Arabidopsis thaliana: one gene and its partners. The protein of the gene in region 3 interacts with the protein of the main gene of each other region in a biochemical or structural test. Each region holds a gene or a part of one and is shown on either strand. Other genes may lie near its edges. The genes, in order: CDG1, CDL1 and BSU1.

Region 1 (5,257 bases), on a different chromosome or scaffold from region 3:
TCCCACGGGACACTCGTAGGCTTGCAGCTTTCGGCATTGAGCTTTCCGGGTTTGGTACGGTTAACGAAGACCGGTTCCACGCCTATTGTAGCGCCAAGAAAGAGTACGTAAGCACTGTAACAATCATATAATGACTTCTTGAAAAAGATTCTGGACTCTTGGTTATAAATGGACTCACTGGTTTTATTCTTCAAATCTACTTCCCCTTCTTTAATTGAACCGGCCATATCAAACTTTTTGTTCTAAATAACCGGACCCAAACCGAATTAAGCAAACCGAACGCCCAGGCCTACGAGTAACTAGCTGGCCTCTTGGTTCAATATATGGTTTTACTACTCCCTTCTTAAATTGAACCGGCTTTCTTACCAGGTCTAAATAACTAAACCCAAACCGAACTAACTAATTAAACCGAAGTCAAATATATCCAGCTATAAGTAAGAGAAGACTTCTGGTGTTTATTAGAAACAAAGTAAGATTAAGAGAGGAATAAAGCTGGTGTCAGACATTAAAGATGGAACATCATCTCGTGGAATCAAACTTTTCCTAATACAAAAATTGATTCTCGGTTAGTGAAACTTCAATTTACTACCACTTGCAGATTGTTAATTTCATTATTATTATTCTCGTCGTTAGAAATTTGCTACTAACATTGCAAGTAGGTTCAGGTATAGGTGAGAGCTAGTTTAAGATGGACAAAACTAATTATGTAAGTAGTTCTTGTAAAATATGCATTTTAAAGGTAACAATTGCTATTTTGGTGTAAACTTTTGTAATGACTAAAAATAAATAATTGTGATGGAAATAAAATCTGATTACAAAAAGATTTGAGAACGTCATGATTCATTCATAATCATGTACTGTCTACCATACTTTTTATTCTACGTACTACCATACAATCTCCAAATTTTAAGAGTGGTATGGCTCCATGACTCACATCACATGATTTACATTACATATTGTACTAATGTCAGAACCTTAACCGATCGTAAAAACCGATCAACAACGTTAACCATCATTATTGACCGTTATCTGTCGTCATAAAATCTCGGCCAAGGCTTCTTTAAAGTCTTGGCTAAATCAAAAACAACTTTTGAATTTGAACCTCATAGTGGAGCTAGAGAAGAACACAACCAAGAATCAAATGTGTATACGTTCGTATAATTAATACTTGTTAATACTGTTTCCCTCTCCTCTTTCTTTAGTTTTGTTAATTACTAGACTTTTATGCACAAAATGATAAGAATGGAGTCATAAAATCCATAGAAACCATAAAAAAAAAGTTCCGATAATTATCATTATCGTATATTGAATAATGTGAAATAGAAGTTGAATGTGTTTCCAAATTTGGTTCGGAACTGTCTTATGTCTCAGACAGAGAATCTTTGATAAAATCTTTTAACTTACATTGCATGGATATATTGGCCTAAATTTTACCATTATCAGCGTTCCTTTTAATTTTGAGGTTAAACATAGGGAAAAGCATCTTGCCGTTTTCATCGTCTGTTAAAAATTATTGAGTTTTAGACTGGGAATCTTTAATACTTGTAGCTCACGTTACATGAATTTGTTTATCAAAATTTTGTTATTCTCTGCGGTTTTTGCAATACACTTAAAAATTATTTTGCACCAAAACCAACCAACAAAAAAAATTCTTCAATGAATTTCAAAAACGTTGATAATTTTTTTGTCGTTACGTCTATAGTTTTGGGCCTTTTTTGAATGCATAACAAACATAGTTATCATCTAATATATCACTATTAGAATTTAGAAATACTTAACGTGAGGATTATTTTCTAATTTTTGTCTTAAAAATTAGTTTAAATTCAGAATCCAACATTTATCACAATTATAAATTCCAGGGATATAAAGGAGAAACTTACTATAAAACAATTAACATTGTAGATTATTACCCTCAATGGCATAATAAAACAATAAATGATTTTATCTCATAGAAGCAATTGGTGAGTAACGTACCATATATATTGCACCCCCATGCTCTCTTTTGTTGATTACGTGTCTTTCCTTCCTATCAAAACCCCTTCAACCAAATCTTATCTAAATCCCCCAAAATTTTACGAAAACTCTCGATTTTAATCTAAATCTCCTTCCTTATCACCTCACAAATTTCTCGTGTTTTTTTGTAATCAATTTTTGATGGAAAATTATTCCCAAAACTCGAATCTCTGTTGATCGTGTGTTTCTTGGGGTTCGTCTGATTCCTTCAAAGTTTTCATCTTTTTGATAACAAAACCGTTAGTTCTTTGTCCTCGTGTGTGATCATCTCTTGAGCCCTATTGATAAACCATATAGAGAGTGTATGTGTGTGTATATCTTTGTTTATTGAGTGACACCAACAACAAAAAGATTATTTTCCTTGAGATTGATTAAAAGAAAACATGGTTAGTTGCTTGTGTTTTCGTCCCAGTCGGAAAACGAAGCTCAAAGACAAATCTCATAAGAGATCCATACGTAACCAGACATCCTCCTCTTCTGGTTCCTCTCACTTCCCTTTGATCTTTTTATTATTATTTATAGATTAATCTTGAGATTAGTCATCTTTAATACCAGTCATTAGTAGTAAATCATGATAAAATCTCCCTTTTCTTTTAAATAGCTTATTTATTAATGATACATATAGTATTTGTCTTGTGATTAGTTTATACGGATCGTACAAATCCCGGCTTAGGGTTTGTGTTTTATAGTTCAAAGATTTGTGTATTTGGCTGATAAATGTCTTTTTAATCTACTTGTGATCCAATAACATATGTGATATAGTCTCTCATTGTGTTGTTTTGTTCCTCTGTAGCCCAACCAGCTGGAACAGCAAAAGAAGTAGATTCGTCAAGTTCACAAACCGTAGTGCAAGATTCTTCTAGATACAGATGTCAGATTTTCTCATACAGAGAACTCGCCATCGCGACTAACAGCTTCAGGAATGAATCTTTGATCGGAAGAGGTGGATTTGGAACTGTGTATAAAGGAAGGCTAAGCACTGGACAGGTAATCTATTATTAACATTTGGACTAATCAAATCAATAATCTTGTCGTTGTGAAATCTCTAACTGTTTGTCATTGTGCTTTGTTGTTGGTCTTAATTCAAGAACATAGCTGTTAAAATGCTTGATCAGTCTGGTATTCAAGGAGACAAAGAGTTTCTTGTGGAAGTCCTAATGCTCTCGCTCTTGCACCACCGAAACCTAGTGCATTTGTTCGGTTATTGTGCTGAAGGCGATCAAAGACTCGTTGTCTATGAATACATGCCTCTTGGATCTGTAGAAGATCATCTCTACGGTAAAAAAAAAACTACACTCAAACCAAGAAATTTTCAAGAACGAGATTCATTAAAGTTTTTTAAATTCTTGTGTTGTTTTGTCAGATCTTAGCGAGGGTCAAGAGGCTTTAGATTGGAAGACAAGGATGAAGATAGCTCTAGGAGCGGCTAAAGGGTTAGCGTTTCTTCACAACGAAGCACAACCTCCTGTGATATACAGAGATTTGAAAACTTCAAACATATTGTTGGATCATGACTATAAACCTAAGCTCTCAGATTTTGGACTTGCAAAGTTTGGTCCAAGTGATGATATGTCTCATGTCTCTACTAGAGTTATGGGAACTCATGGGTATTGTGCACCAGAGTACGCGAACACCGGGAAGTTGACGCTGAAATCTGATATTTATAGCTTTGGAGTTGTGCTGCTGGAGCTTATCAGTGGACGCAAAGCTCTTATGCCCTCATCCGAATGCGTTGGTAATCAAAGTCGCTATCTTGTGCATTGGGTAATCCTCTCAACCTTATTTTGCTTAAGGATGGATTAGTTTTTTCCTTATGACCATTTATAGGCTTTGCTTCTTTTAGACTATATAACCAGATTATATCTATCTAAATTCCAATTTTGCTTAAGAGAAAAATTGTTTTGATGGTGACCTTTTGGTCGATTTTGCATAATTATACCGTTTACGATTTAGGGTTTAGGGTTTAGATTAATCAATTAACCATTAAACCATATGCTATCAATTTTGATTTTTCGTAAAAATGGTAGTGGTTTTACTATTGACCTTTAACCATATATAGGTTTTGATTTTGGTTATGCTGATGAAAAAGAGTTTCGTGTTATGGCCCTTAATGATGTGTGGATACGTATTAGACTAATGAATGTTCCGATTTTGATGACGACATGTTCATGTGTTTCTTTTTTTTTTTCTTAACAGGCACGACCGTTGTTCTTGAATGGCAGAATAAGGCAGATTGTAGATCCAAGGTTAGCAAGAAAAGGCGGTTTTTCGAATATACTTCTTTATAGAGGTATTGAAGTGGCCTTTCTGTGCCTAGCAGAAGAAGCAAACGCTAGACCATCGATCAGCCAAGTCGTGGAGTGTCTTAAGTATATCATTGATCACACAATTAGGAAGGAAAGGAGAACTAGGCGTAGACTACTAGGAGGAAATAAGGATGGGGCGGGGACATCGAGGTCACCGGATGAGACAATGATGAGGATGTTAGAAGAAGAAGAAGAATACGTAACTAGTGAAGAAGCTATTGAGAGAAGGAGGGTAATCGTGGATGATGCTCGTACTTGGGCCGGTATGAATAGGAGAGGGGCTACGCCACCAACTCCGACTCCATGAAAGTGAAGTAAATTTTTATTAACTTGTTTTTCAAGTTATATTTGGTTAAGTTTGTTTGGTGAGACTATTGTTAGAAACCAAATTTTGTTAAAACATTTAAACATGGCAATTTAGTTAATACTAGATTTATGTTTGTTTTTATATATGTACTAACATCAAATTGATTTCTTACAAATTTCATCTGCTTCAATAACTTCGGTTTATTTAATTCGATTAAGATTTTGTTTCATAACAAAAAAATTAATATTTTGGACGTAAACTTTTTCATTTCATTTTTTTTAATATTTAATTTTATTATATTGAATCAAAAATTACATGGTTATCAATAAACATACACATACAACCAATATTTAGGTAAAACAAAATAATCGAAAAAGTAAAATCGCACGTTGCTTCTTTCGATAGGTAGGACTTATATGCTACCAGAGAAATAATTCTGTTACTTTTTTTATTCGTTTTCATCTTTGATCTTCTTTTTTTTACTATCGCCTTTTTGATGAAACTACAATAAGTTCTTCAAAAATTATTAGTTGCGATCCATCTGTTACATCGCAAATCATACAAATTTTTTTTAGTTGTAGAAAACATGATTGTTTATATAGCGACTTGTTTTCCATATAGATATTCCTTC
Region 2 (4,806 bases), on a different chromosome or scaffold from region 3:
GAGCTAATGCACGTGGAACATAGTTCAAAGAGGCATAGAGGAACTAAAGATGATGGGACACTAGTTAGGGATGATCGGAATGTGCTGAGGCGTTCAGAGGGCTCAGCTTTCTCAAGGTACTTTCTTAGAATCAAACCTCTGTTTTTTCTTCCGTACACAACCTTTTGAATGCCTTATTGAAGAACTATGAGATCGACTGTTGGACTTGTGCAGGTATAATCCAGCCTCAAATGCCAATAAGATTTCTGGTGGGAACTTAGGAAGCACTTCGCTTCAGGATAATAATAGTCAGGATCTTATAAAAAAGACTGAAGCAGCATATGATTGTCACTCGAACATGAATGAGAGTCTCCCCCATAATCATCGCTCACATGTCGGTAGCAATAACTTTGATATGAGTTCCACGACTGAGAACAACGCTTTCACAAAACCAGGAGCTCCAAAAGTAAGCTCAGCAGGATCTTCATCAGTGAAGCATTCATCGTTTCAGCCTTTACCCTGTGATCATCATAATAATCATGCCTCCTATAACCTTGTCCATGTCGCTGAGAGGAAGAAGCTACCGCCACAATGTGGATCCTCAAATGTGTACAACGAAACGATTGAAGGTAACAACAACACAGTGAATTACAGTGTGAATGGAAGTGTATCAGGTAGTGGTCATGGAAGTAATGGGCCATATGGAAGCAGTAACGGTATGAATGCTGGAGGAATGAATATGGGAAGTGATAATGGTGCTGGCAAAAATGGAAATGGCGATGGTAGTGGAAGCGGAAGTGGAAGTGGTAGCGGAAACTTGGCGGATGAAAATAAGATCTCTCAAAGGGAAGCTGCTTTGACAAAGTTCCGTCAGAAGAGAAAAGAGAGGTGCTTCCGAAAGAAGGTAAATTCTCGGTCAAATCTATAACAAAGGAAAAAAAAAGTATTCTTGTAAATTGCGAAAGCAAATGCAAACCGCAAAAATGTTTTTTTTTTGGCTTTCTCAGGTACGATACCAAAGCCGGAAAAAACTAGCAGAACAACGCCCTCGAGTGCGAGGCCAATTTGTGCGTAAAACAGCCGCTGCAACTGATGATAACGACATAAAAAACATTGAGGATAGCTAACGGAAAATCAACAAAACCCACTATTTCTCAGCCCAAAAACATGAGTAATGTGCTCATATCTATCTTATATATATATATCTATCACATGTTTTAACATTTTCCCTTCAAAGTCTGATTCTTTGATAATACTACTACTATTCACGAAACAAAGACACTACGACATTTGATTGTTTGTTATTATTGTCGTTGTCTGGTCTGGTTTGTGAAATTAGGACGAAGGGTTTGGTTTCAGGATGTAGTGAAATCTTTGTAGATGTTGTAAACTTGTAAAACAATAACCCCTTCTCTGTATATTTTTTGGTATAAGCTTGCTTTTGGAGCCGTGCATAGTACGGTGTCGTATTGTATCAACATTATCTCTTTCAATATCATTTAGCTTATATCGTAAATATATATATTCTTAGAAAAAATCTGTCTTTGATAAACACCATTTTAAAATAGGAATAATCAATCTCTTATACCCAAATGATTGGAAACTATAATGGTGACCACGATTGTTGCTTATTAAAGTTCAATTTCAATATTGTTACAACTTACAACACAAGAAATTTATTCAATCAAATAATCTCTTTTTGTGTGTTGAAAAGAAATTTAAATTCCATGGGGGTAGTTAGTTGATACTACTTTGATAAAATATAATTTTTGTTTGTCTTTTTTTCTTTGACAATTAATTTTTATTTGTCAAAGTCAAACCCATTCACATTAATTTGTATCACAAAAATTAAATTGTTTTAAAAATATATTTTATATCAAAAGAGAAAAATCGAAAAATCCAGCGATTGGCTTGGCGTGCTTTTTTTACATTTCAAAGTTCTCTAAGCTTCTCTCTCTCTCTCTCGCTTTTGAGATCATCGAACACAATCGAAACGAAGAATCATTTGAAGAAGAAGAAGATCGTGAGAAGCTTAATGGGTTGGATCCCGTGTTCTGGGAAATCGAGTGGGAGGAATAAGACAAGGAGGAACGGTGACCACAAACTCGACAGGAAGTCTTCTGATTGTTCTGTGTCTACTTCAGGTAATTTCTCTTTATAGTCTTTGTCCAATTTTAATTCTGGGTTTAACCTTCTCTTACTAAATTATGGAAATTTTTATCCTTTGCTAAAACTTTCTGATTCCTGTGAGCCATCATCGTTTGCTAATGCTGATTAGGGTTTTTGACTTTCTGTTTAAAGATTGCTTTTTTCCTTCCATTTCACTAGCTTTTGACTACTCTGTAACACCTGTGTTAGTATTTTGACAGTGATGTGTTATTGCATGTCTCTTTCCTGTTAATTGTTGTTATTGCTCTCCAGTGGAAGTTGTGGATTAAACTCTTAAATGGGACTTGCTAGATCCTTAAGTATCTTGCTATATTCTTAGAACTTTAATTTGTTGATTATTGACCTTGAGACAATTATGCTCAGCTTGTGTTGATTAATTATTTCTTCTTATCGCTTTCTTTTCTTTCTTTTTTTGTAGAGAAATCTAGGGCCAAGTCGTCCTTGAGTGAATCCAAAAGTAAAGGCTCTGATCACATTGTGGCACAAACGTTTACATTCTCTGAGTTAGCTACTGCCACTAGAAACTTCAGAAAAGAATGTCTTATAGGAGAAGGAGGATTTGGTAGAGTTTACAAAGGATACTTGGCCAGCACTAGCCAGGTTCCTTCCCTTTTTTTTGCTTGGTTTTAACCTTTTGAATCTTCTTGGTAGTGAAAGCTCACTGTCATTATATCTTCATTTGTAGACAGCGGCTATCAAGCAACTTGATCATAATGGTTTACAAGGAAACAGGGAGTTCCTCGTCGAGGTTCTCATGTTGAGTCTTCTTCATCACCCGAATCTTGTTAACTTAATAGGATATTGTGCTGATGGAGATCAAAGGCTTCTAGTCTACGAGTACATGCCCCTAGGTTCACTTGAAGATCATTTGCACGGTATGCGCTTCTAAGATCACACATGCCTATGAGAAGTCTTTAAATTTCAATCGGGTGATGCTTTTTTTATTTCAGACATTTCACCTGGTAAGCAGCCACTTGACTGGAACACCAGAATGAAAATAGCTGCCGGTGCTGCAAAAGGTTTGGAGTATCTGCATGACAAAACCATGCCTCCAGTGATCTATCGAGATTTGAAATGCTCAAATATTTTGCTCGATGATGATTACTTTCCAAAGCTATCCGACTTCGGGTTGGCTAAACTTGGCCCAGTTGGGGACAAGTCTCATGTGTCCACTCGGGTTATGGGAACATACGGATACTGTGCTCCCGAGTATGCAATGACAGGCCAGCTAACACTCAAATCAGACGTTTACAGCTTCGGTGTTGTTCTGTTGGAGATTATAACTGGTCGGAAAGCAATAGACAGTTCAAGATCTACTGGAGAACAGAATCTAGTCGCATGGGTAAGAAAAAAAAACAAATTGGGAACAAACTTTGTTTTCTCTGCGGATTCTTCCTTCTAATTGTATTCTTTGAAATGCTCTCTATGTCAGGCAAGGCCTTTGTTTAAAGACAGGAGGAAATTCTCTCAGATGGCTGATCCAATGCTTCAAGGTCAATACCCTCCGCGAGGGTTATACCAAGCACTCGCTGTAGCAGCGATGTGCGTACAAGAGCAGCCAAATCTTAGACCTCTCATTGCTGACGTCGTCACTGCACTTTCTTACCTCGCCTCCCAAAAGTTTGATCCTCTGGCTCAGCCAGTCCAAGGATCCCTTTTCGCTCCAGGGACTCCACCTAGATCAAAGAGGGTCTGAAAATAATCCCGAGAACCGCAATGCTGTGTAAGTTATGTAGCTTAAACCCATTCCGTGCTGTCTTTCTTGGAGAGGAAAGGTGGATGATTTTCAGACTAAGTGTGAATGTATGGCTTAAGAGCTACTTGTAGATATGTGTAAGAAGAGATAGATTCATATAGAGGCCGGTTTATAATGTTGTTATAGGTGATGTTGTTTAATGTAATGTTTATTGAGCGCTTGCTTTCAAATGTGACAATTTCTCATTATTGTACTGAGGATGTCTGCTTCGATTCCAAAGTTATTGTATAAATATTAAAGTACTATAGTTTTCAAAACTTTAATGTGTGAGATTTTGATTGTATTGATATCATATTACAATGTCAAGGATTGATTATTGGTGAACAGTCAAATATAGATCAAGCTGTTGCTGCAAGTTAACTATACACCTTATCCTTATTGCATCATCTGGTTCTTAATGTGTGAGATTTTGATAGTATTACTATCATACAGTAATATATTAACAATGTCAATGGTTGATAATTTGATCAACACTAGAATACAGATTAAGCTGTTGCTGCTTAAAGTACAAATCTTATTGCATCATCAGGTTCAAGTACACATCTTATTTCTTCATATCCAAAGACCACCTGTTCGTACAAGGTGGTTTGGTCTCATACACTTTACTGCTTCGTGCTTGCTTACAGTTACTGCAAGAATATAACCGGAATTAGACTCACATTTAGTATAGACCATTAACCGAGAAAGTATTAAACAAGTCATTTGGCCATAGTAATAGGCTAGCTGATGATTAGTGCATGGTCTTTGCTTTCAAAACGTCTAAGTCGCAAAACGCTCGTTGGAGAAAGATGAGATTGTCTCTGAGCCAGATGCTAAACCGACTCGGTTTTCATTCCCAAAACAGAAAACTAACCCAAAGCAACGAACATTCACACCTAAACAACCAGATGCTTAAAGGCATA
Region 3 (7,786 bases):
AGATTTTGATAAGTTTCTAGTCGTTATGTTACTGATATTTAAAGCAATTTCTTTGATGTTCTCAGGACCAGCAGGTGCGAATCTATTTATTTATAACATACCTCGGGAATTCGAGGATCAAGAACTCGCGGCTACGTTTCAACCTTTTGGTAAGGTTCTAAGCGCCAAGGTGTTTGTAGACAAGGCCACTGGTATAAGCAAATGTTTCGGTAAGCTCTTGCTTTCTTCCTCTATCATCTTCATTCTTTCCCCTAGACTCGAATTAACCGTTACGCAACCCTTTTGTTGCTGCACGCAGGATTCATTAGTTATGACTCACAGGCAGCTGCTCAGAACGCTATTAACACAATGAACGGTTGCCAATTAAGCGGTAAGAAATTGAAAGTCCAGCTTAAGAGAGACAACGGTCAACAGCAGCAACAACAACAGAGTAAAAACCCGTTATTTAACGGTTTATTAAACTCGTAAAAACCACTGACATCTCTTCATCATTAAGAGTTCGCTGTGCGGTTAACGGCAAATCCGGTTGAGACACTAAGATGGATCTTGATGGAACTGGAGAACAAAAAGTTGATGGCCGTAATTAACTAACATTTGCCAAGTCTGATCATGTGGGTCAGAAATTCTCAATCACTCAGAAAAGCTGTATCTTCATGCAAAAGGATTCTCTTCCACTCACTCTTCTTCTATTTTTCTCTTTTCTAAACTTTGTCAATTTGTGACTTATGTCTATCATTGAAAAGTTCATGTATAAATGTTATGATTATTAACCATTATAATTTCATTTATTAATCTTGTTCATTCTTAAAAGTCCCGTTCTTGAAGACTTCTTTAAGAATGTTTGATTGTAGTTTTTTTCCAGAAAATTGGAGGATTTTTCTCTCCTTGTTTTCTCTCTAACAGTATTGTTGTGCTTCTGCTCCCTGATGGATAAAACAGAGTCAACGATGTAATATATTCTTGACTATTAAGAAACTGCATATATACAAAAATGTTGCAATATTATAGATGAATTGATTAAAATGAATCAAGTAATGTTGAGTTGTTGACAATTCAAACATTTTATTTTCGTATCCTTTTTTTTTTAGTAGAGTAAAGATCAAAATATATAAAGAAATCAAAATGTTCTAAGACTTTAAATTTAAGTTTTTATATTAAATCTCAATATACAGCTCACATGTTATCATTTGGTAATTAAAATTATAGGTCCACATTTCATTTTAAAATTAAAATAGTCCTAATATATTTTAATTACTTTTAAAAATCAACAAAGGGTCCACAACTCATTAATTGATAATTAATATAATTATTATCTCTTATTTGGTATAATTAACTAAAAGGTCCACAATTATATTTTATATAAATGACTGTATATTATATTCTTCTTCTTTTGGCAGTAAATATATTTCTTATAAATGGGAGGTCGTATTCTTAAATAAATTACAATGAACATACATTTTTAATTAATAAAATAGATTGATTTTTCGGAAAGAAATCTAGTCATTATGAAAATTAGAGAGTTGGAAAACTTTGCTAAAACCTTAACTTTATCATTTAAAAATAAAATTAAAACAATAAATATACCAAAAAGTCTATTCCGGTCCGGTCGATAAAACTATCAAATTGGAGGAAACAATATACAAAAAGTCTCGAGAACAAGTATGCCGCGCACTTTTTAAAACGCGTCGTATTTCTATTTTACCATTTTGTACGAAAGGGAAAAAAATTATTGAACAACGACCAGCAAACGAGGCAATAAGCGCCATTCAAAGACTATATAGCGTGGGCATTTTCGTAATTTCACTAATCGCTTAGCCGTTGGACACCAATGCCATTCAAGAAATTTCGTCGGAGTCTAAACTTCATTATTTGCTTACCAAAACTAAAAGAGTGCGCTCGTGGACAAATTTTAGGCTATAAAATGGAGACGAAGGCGATTGGATTTCACCACCTTTCTCCACCACAAAATATTGTGTTATGGCTCCTGATCAATCTTATCAATATCCATCTCCTTCGTATGAATCGATACAGACCTTTTACGATACCGATGAGGATTGGCCGGGTCCTAGATGCGGCCATACTCTCACGGCGGTTTTCGTCAACAATTCCCATCAGCTTATCCTCTTCGGCGGCAGTACTACTGCCGTCGCCAACCATAACTCCTCCTTACCCGAGATCAGTAAGATTTTACTCCCGATTTTTCGAAATTTTTAGGGTTTTGAGATTTCGAGATCCTCTCTGATGATGATGGCTTTGTTTCTTGTAATGTGATTTGTTTTTCTAGGTTTAGATGGCGTCACCAATTCGGTCCATTCTTTTGATGTTTTGACCAGGAAGTGGACAAGGTAATTGAGGATCTTGATGTTTGTTTCTAGGTTTTTTTTTTCTTATTGATGATTTCAATTGGTTTAGAAGAGGTGGATCTTATTAGAATTTAGGAAATCATTTAGTTCATTATTCTAATAGGATCTCTTTGTAACGATTCGTAATTGTGTAGGCTTAATCCGATTGGTGACGTTCCGTCTCCCAGGGCTTGTCATGCTGCCGCTTTATATGGCACCTTGATCCTTATTCAGGTGATTGTCCGAGAACACAGATCTGGAAAGATTTTGTTTTAATTTGATTGTCATAGCATCGTTCATGAAGTTTACATATGTCACGATGGATGTTTAGGTTGCAATAGTCTATGATCTAACATATGAGCATGTCGTTTTTGTTGTTGGCAGGGTGGGATTGGTCCATCCGGACCTTCTGATGGAGATGTCTACATGCTTGACATGACTAATAACAAGTGGATTAAGTCAGTTCATTTATGAATTTATAAATCTTTGCTAGATCTATTTTGTTACTGAATTTTTTTTTACGCATTTAATGTCCGTTCAGGTTTCTGGTTGGAGGGGAGACTCCAAGCCCTCGCTATGGCCATGTTATGGATATAGCTGCTCAGAGGTGGCTTGTCATATTCAGCGGGAATAATGGTACGTCTATCTATGTTTTCCGCTTTCGTTTGGCATTGATATATGTTGTCTCTCTTTTGCATTTTGTAATCGTATATATAGCTTCAGTTTTCTGTTTAACTTATACATATCAATATATCATATAGTACATCCATAAGTAAGAAAACATTTAGATGCATGATATGTTTCCCTCAGAAAGGGAGAATGTCTCCATCGAACAAATTCCTAATCTATATTTGGCATTTCAAAATTATCTTAGCGAAACAAATATGTATATATCTTCCAACAATGTTTTCATTTATGTTTCTACGAAGGAACTTTAATTTCGGTTATCATTATCCTATTTTATTTTGTAAAAATGTCATATTTAAACATCCTAAAACGACTTTTGTCTATGGAGTAGGAAATGAAATTCTGGATGATACATGGGCATTGGACACGCGTGGACCATTTTCATGGGACAGATTGAACCCGTCTGGCAATCAGCCAAGTGGGAGAATGTTAGTAATTTAGTTGATTTAAGTATACTCTAACACATTGCTTTGAGTTATAACTCTTCATTGTTTAACATTTTTGTAGGTATGCTTCAGGTAGTTCTCGAGAAGATGGTATTTTTTTGCTCTGCGGTGGAATAGATCACTCAGGAGTGGTATAATATTTCTTCCCTAATTAAAATTACATAGATTATTTTATGTAAATAGGACATAGAAGTTTTAAAAAGTCGAAGTTCTTGTTTACTACAATAGCCAACCTTTTGTTTTTCCAATCTCTTTCATTGAATTGTGACATGTATATACACCCTAATGCTTGCCTTTTCCAGACACTGGGAGATACTTACGGGCTGAAAATGGATAGCGATAATGTTTGGACTCCTGTTCCAGCTGTAGCTCCTTCCCCGAGATATCAACATACTGCGGTGAGAACCAACACTTCCATGCTCTAATCCTATCTTTTGCAAAAACTTCCTTAACTTCATTGTCTCTCTTATTAGGTTTTCGGAGGTTCAAAACTGCATGTCATTGGGGGTATACTGAATAGGGCTCGCCTAATCGATGGTGAAGCAGTTGTTGCTGGTAAATATCTAACCGCTGTTTTCTAGAGAATCTGAGTTTGATCCTTATCAGATATATATCAGACTTAGTAGTGGATAATGTTATGGAAAAAAAAAAAACTTCCTTGCAGTGCTTGATACTGAGACTGGTGAATGGGTAGATACCAATCAACCAGAGACCTCTGCGAGCGGCGCCAATAGACAAAATCAATATCAACTTATGCGACGTTGTCACCATGCTGCTGCATCGTTTGGCAGCCACCTATATGTGCATGGCGGGATTAGAGAAGGTAGCCCTGAATTTTTAAATTATATTGACATTAAAATAAAAGGAACTTATACAAATTTTGTTTTTTGAGATGGATTTTGCATATCTTAGCACTAGTCAATTTCATTGTTTTTATTCATCTTCTTTGAGTTAAGGCAAAGTAACAATATTTATGACAATTCCATTGTTGTTTTTATTCTTGTGTAGATGTATTGCTCGACGATTTGCTAGTTGCTGAAACATCCCAGTCTTCAAGTCCTGAACCAGAAGAAGATAATCCTGATAATTGTAAAATCAAAGGAAACTTATATAGTTTTGACTTTCATATATTAGTCCTATGGTTTTTGCATATCTAAGCACTAATCAATTTGACTTTTTCCAAGTTTGCAGATTTCTTCCTTGAGTTAAAAGTAACAAAGTTTCTTTTAACAATAATTGCTTGAATTTTATTCTCGTGTAGATATGTTGCTCGACGACTATCTAATGGATGAACCTAAGCCTTTAAGTTCTGAACCAGAAGCTTCATCCTTTATAATGAGGAGGTCTATACTCGTACACACTTTTCTACACTCTTTTGTTCTGTGCTTAATCCTATATAGGTTTTTTTGTTTTTTTAAACAAATCCTTCTTTCTTCCATAATGATATCAGCACAAGTGAAATTGCGATGGATAGATTGGCAGAGGCACATAACTTACCAACTATCGAAAATGCTTTTTATGATAGTGCTATTGAAGGATACGTTCCACTTCAACATGGAGCTGTATGTGGAATAATATTTTTTTCCTTCACTCCTCTATCTTTCTTTATATAGAATGTTATATGTTCAATAAATGAGTGTTGGTTGTGATTTCAAAGGAGACGGTTGGAAATCGAGGTGGCTTGGTGAGAACTGCAAGCTTGGATCAATCTACTCAAGACTTGCATAAGAAGGTGTATATATATATATGATCTTGCTTTCAGCATATATTCCCATCTTCATGCACTTACACGTTGCTTGCTTTGCAGGTCATTTCGACACTGTTGAGACCTAAAACCTGGACGCCTCCTGCCAACAGAGATTTTTTCTTGAGTTATTTAGAAGTTAAGCATTTGTGCGATGAGGTAGAGAAAATATTTATGAATGAACCAACACTTCTTCAGCTCAAAGTTCCAATCAAAGTCTTCGGCGATATCCATGGACAATACGGGGATTTGATGCGTTTATTTCATGAATATGGACATCCTTCAGTGGAAGGAGATATCACGTAAGTTCAAGCTTCCTAGCATGTTTTTACTGGTTTTTGAGTTTTGTTCATGAATATTAGTCACTGAACCAATCGTTGTGTGTGTGTCTAAATATATATACGTCTTCATCAGCCATATAGACTATTTGTTTTTGGGAGATTATGTTGACCGTGGACAACACAGCTTGGAGATCATCATGTTGCTGTTTGCTTTGAAGGTAAGATATTCTTTCTTATATGTTATGACTTTTTGATTTTAGTATCTTCTAAGATCTGTCTCTTATACGCAGATAGAATATCCGAAGAACATCCACTTGATTCGTGGAAATCATGAGTCTCTTGCAATGAATAGAATTTATGGTTTTCTTACAGAATGCGAAGAAAGAATGGTACGTCTCTTCAGAGAATATATATTCTCATTGTCATTGGCTAATTAATGAAGTAACATATATAATCTTGTTCTGTACGTTACCAGGGCGAGTCCTATGGGTTCGAAGCATGGTTAAAGATTAATCAAGTTTTTGATTATCTTCCGCTTGCTGCACTTCTAGAAAAGAAAGTTTTGTGTGTCCATGGCGGAATTGGGAGGGCAGTTACGATCGAAGAAATTGAAAATATCGAAAGGCCGGCATTCCCGGATACTGGATCAATGGTCTTGAAAGACATCTTATGGTAACATACTCTCAACTATTTCTAACTTTTTTTCTTTCCAAGCTGTGTAATAACATTTTTTTATGGATAAACAGGTCAGATCCTACGATGAATGACACTGTTTTGGGTATAGTAGACAATGCCAGAGGAGAAGGTGTTGTCTCATTTGGGGTTAGGCCTATTCCTTATTTATCTTTTACTTTATGAATACCATTTTCAAGCTCAACTACTAACGCATATTCTTGTCTTATAAATGAAGCCTGATATAGTCAAGGCATTTCTAGAAAGGAATGGTCTGGAGATGATACTAAGAGCACACGAGTGTGTTATTGACGGCTTTGAAAGATTCGCTGACGGACGGCTTATAACAGTCTTTTCTGCTACAAATTACTGTGGTACATTTGTTATGTTTATAGAAACTTTCATTTATTTCGACATTTGCATACATATAATAGGCATGTGAATAAAAAACATTGTGTGTGTGATGAGCAGGAACTGCACAAAATGCGGGAGCAATATTGGTAATTGGTAGAGATATGGTAATTTATCCTAAGCTGATTCATCCTCACCCTCCTCCCATCTCATCTTCAGAAGAAGACTATACAGACAAAGCATGGATGCAGGTAAGCCTCCCGTTTCTTTACCATATAGAATAGATATTGAGCATATGAAACATGTTGTGGTAACCGAGCTTTTAAGTACTTTTGTGATGGACTCAGGAGCTGAACATCGAGATGCCGCCTACTCCAGCTCGAGGGGAGTCAAGTGAATAAAGGCAGATATTTGGTATAGAAGTTGTGCGGTTGAAGAGGTGTAAATGTTTCATTTGCAAGCTGCACAAGTGTACCGGAACCTTTTTCTTTTCATTTCTTTCTATTTTGGTATTGGCAGAGGACAATTTTAAAAGTGATTTTCTTTAATATACTTAAGTTTGGAAAACAATTGTTCATTATTCCATTTTGCCTGATTTATTTCTACTTTTATAATTTTAATAAATGGTTATGAGGTTGAAACTTAAAAAGCATATATTCCCATTCCATTCATTACCAAAAAAATATTCCCATTCCATTATCATTCTGATTGTTGTGTTCATAAATGTTTTGATTTCTAGAATTGATTACTCATTTATTTTCCTATGAATTTTTTTATTTCATTTGAACTGAAACTGCTTACTCATTTGTCATCTCCCACTCCTTTTTTTCTATTAAAACGAATTTTAAGTTATTACTTTTCTGAAAACAAATTTTGGTAAACAAGATCATTCATGAAACCATTTTGAACACTCTTCAATAAAACAAAACCATCATTTTCCAATTTTAAATACGCAGAAACGATGGATAGTGGACAATCTTCATCCTCACATCAATATAATCCTTATTCCAAAGACACTTGTACACACCAAAACTCTAATCTTCATTCTCACCAACGAATAAACGAATCGTTTTTTCCTTTAAAAGTTTTTTTTTAACACGATGAAACACTCTGTTCCTCAAAAACTTTAACCAAAAAAATAAAAACATAGTATTATATAAGAAAGCGTAATTTACCAAACTACCCTCGCCACTCGGTGCATTGTGTAGTGGGCCTAGTCTTTTGTGGGCCGGCCTTTAGCGGACACGGGGTTTGTAACGGCGG

What was found.
Region 1: of the proteins of BSU1 (region 3) and CDG1, one has a biochemical effect on the other in vitro, tested with the Arabidopsis thaliana proteins (one study listed by BioGRID).
Region 2: of the proteins of BSU1 (region 3) and CDL1, one has a biochemical effect on the other in vitro, tested with the Arabidopsis thaliana proteins (one study listed by BioGRID).

What each region holds. Positions count from the first base shown.
Region 1 is NC_003074.8:9,936,076-9,941,332, reverse strand, and holds CDG1 (Protein kinase superfamily protein), read left to right. Parts: upstream 1-2,027; 5' UTR 2,028-2,396; coding exon 2,397-2,493; intron 2,494-2,806; coding exon 2,807-3,000; intron 3,001-3,101; coding exon 3,102-3,291; intron 3,292-3,376; coding exon 3,377-3,777; intron 3,778-4,209; coding exon 4,210-4,626; 3' UTR 4,627-4,751; downstream 4,752-5,257. Other genes in the region: AT3G26950 (uncharacterized protein), read left to right, coding at 1-131. UniProt on the Arabidopsis thaliana protein: Serine/threonine-protein kinase involved in the positive regulation of brassinosteroid (BR) signaling and plant growth. Mediates BR signal transduction from BRI1 receptor kinase to BSU1 phosphatase.
Region 2 is NC_003076.8:634,583-639,388, reverse strand, and holds CDL1 (Protein kinase superfamily protein), read left to right. Parts: upstream 1-1,820; 5' UTR 1,821-2,014; coding exon 2,015-2,123; intron 2,124-2,566; coding exon 2,567-2,748; intron 2,749-2,833; coding exon 2,834-3,023; intron 3,024-3,098; coding exon 3,099-3,490; intron 3,491-3,580; coding exon 3,581-3,844; 3' UTR 3,845-4,182; downstream 4,183-4,806. Other genes in the region: PRR7 (pseudo-response regulator 7), read left to right, coding at 1-116, 214-883, 987-1,106; GSTL3 (Glutathione S-transferase family protein), read right to left, coding at 4,531-4,533. UniProt on the Arabidopsis thaliana protein: Serine/threonine-protein kinase involved in the positive regulation of brassinosteroid (BR) signaling and plant growth. Phosphorylates both BSU1 and BSL1 in vitro.
Region 3 is NC_003070.9:853,791-861,576, reverse strand, and holds BSU1 (Serine/threonine protein phosphatase family protein), read left to right. Parts: upstream 1-1,875; 5' UTR 1,876-1,977; coding exon 1,978-2,179; intron 2,180-2,284; coding exon 2,285-2,345; intron 2,346-2,497; coding exon 2,498-2,576; intron 2,577-2,726; coding exon 2,727-2,800; intron 2,801-2,883; coding exon 2,884-2,978; intron 2,979-3,360; coding exon 3,361-3,457; intron 3,458-3,536; coding exon 3,537-3,606; intron 3,607-3,777; coding exon 3,778-3,873; intron 3,874-3,948; coding exon 3,949-4,030; intron 4,031-4,139; coding exon 4,140-4,298; intron 4,299-4,483; coding exon 4,484-4,564; intron 4,565-4,736; coding exon 4,737-4,818; intron 4,819-4,925; coding exon 4,926-5,037; intron 5,038-5,132; coding exon 5,133-5,207; intron 5,208-5,282; coding exon 5,283-5,521; intron 5,522-5,633; coding exon 5,634-5,718; intron 5,719-5,790; coding exon 5,791-5,889; intron 5,890-5,975; coding exon 5,976-6,172; intron 6,173-6,246; coding exon 6,247-6,322; intron 6,323-6,410; and 9 more. Other genes in the region: AT1G03457 (RNA-binding (RRM/RBD/RNP motifs) family protein), read left to right, coding at 66-209, 299-468; AT1G03440 (Leucine-rich repeat (LRR) family protein), read right to left, coding at 7,703-7,786. UniProt on the Arabidopsis thaliana protein: Phosphatase that acts as a positive regulator of brassinosteroid (BR) signaling. Dephosphorylates BES1, a transcription factor that regulates the expression of BR-response genes, thereby playing an important role in the regulation of response to BRs.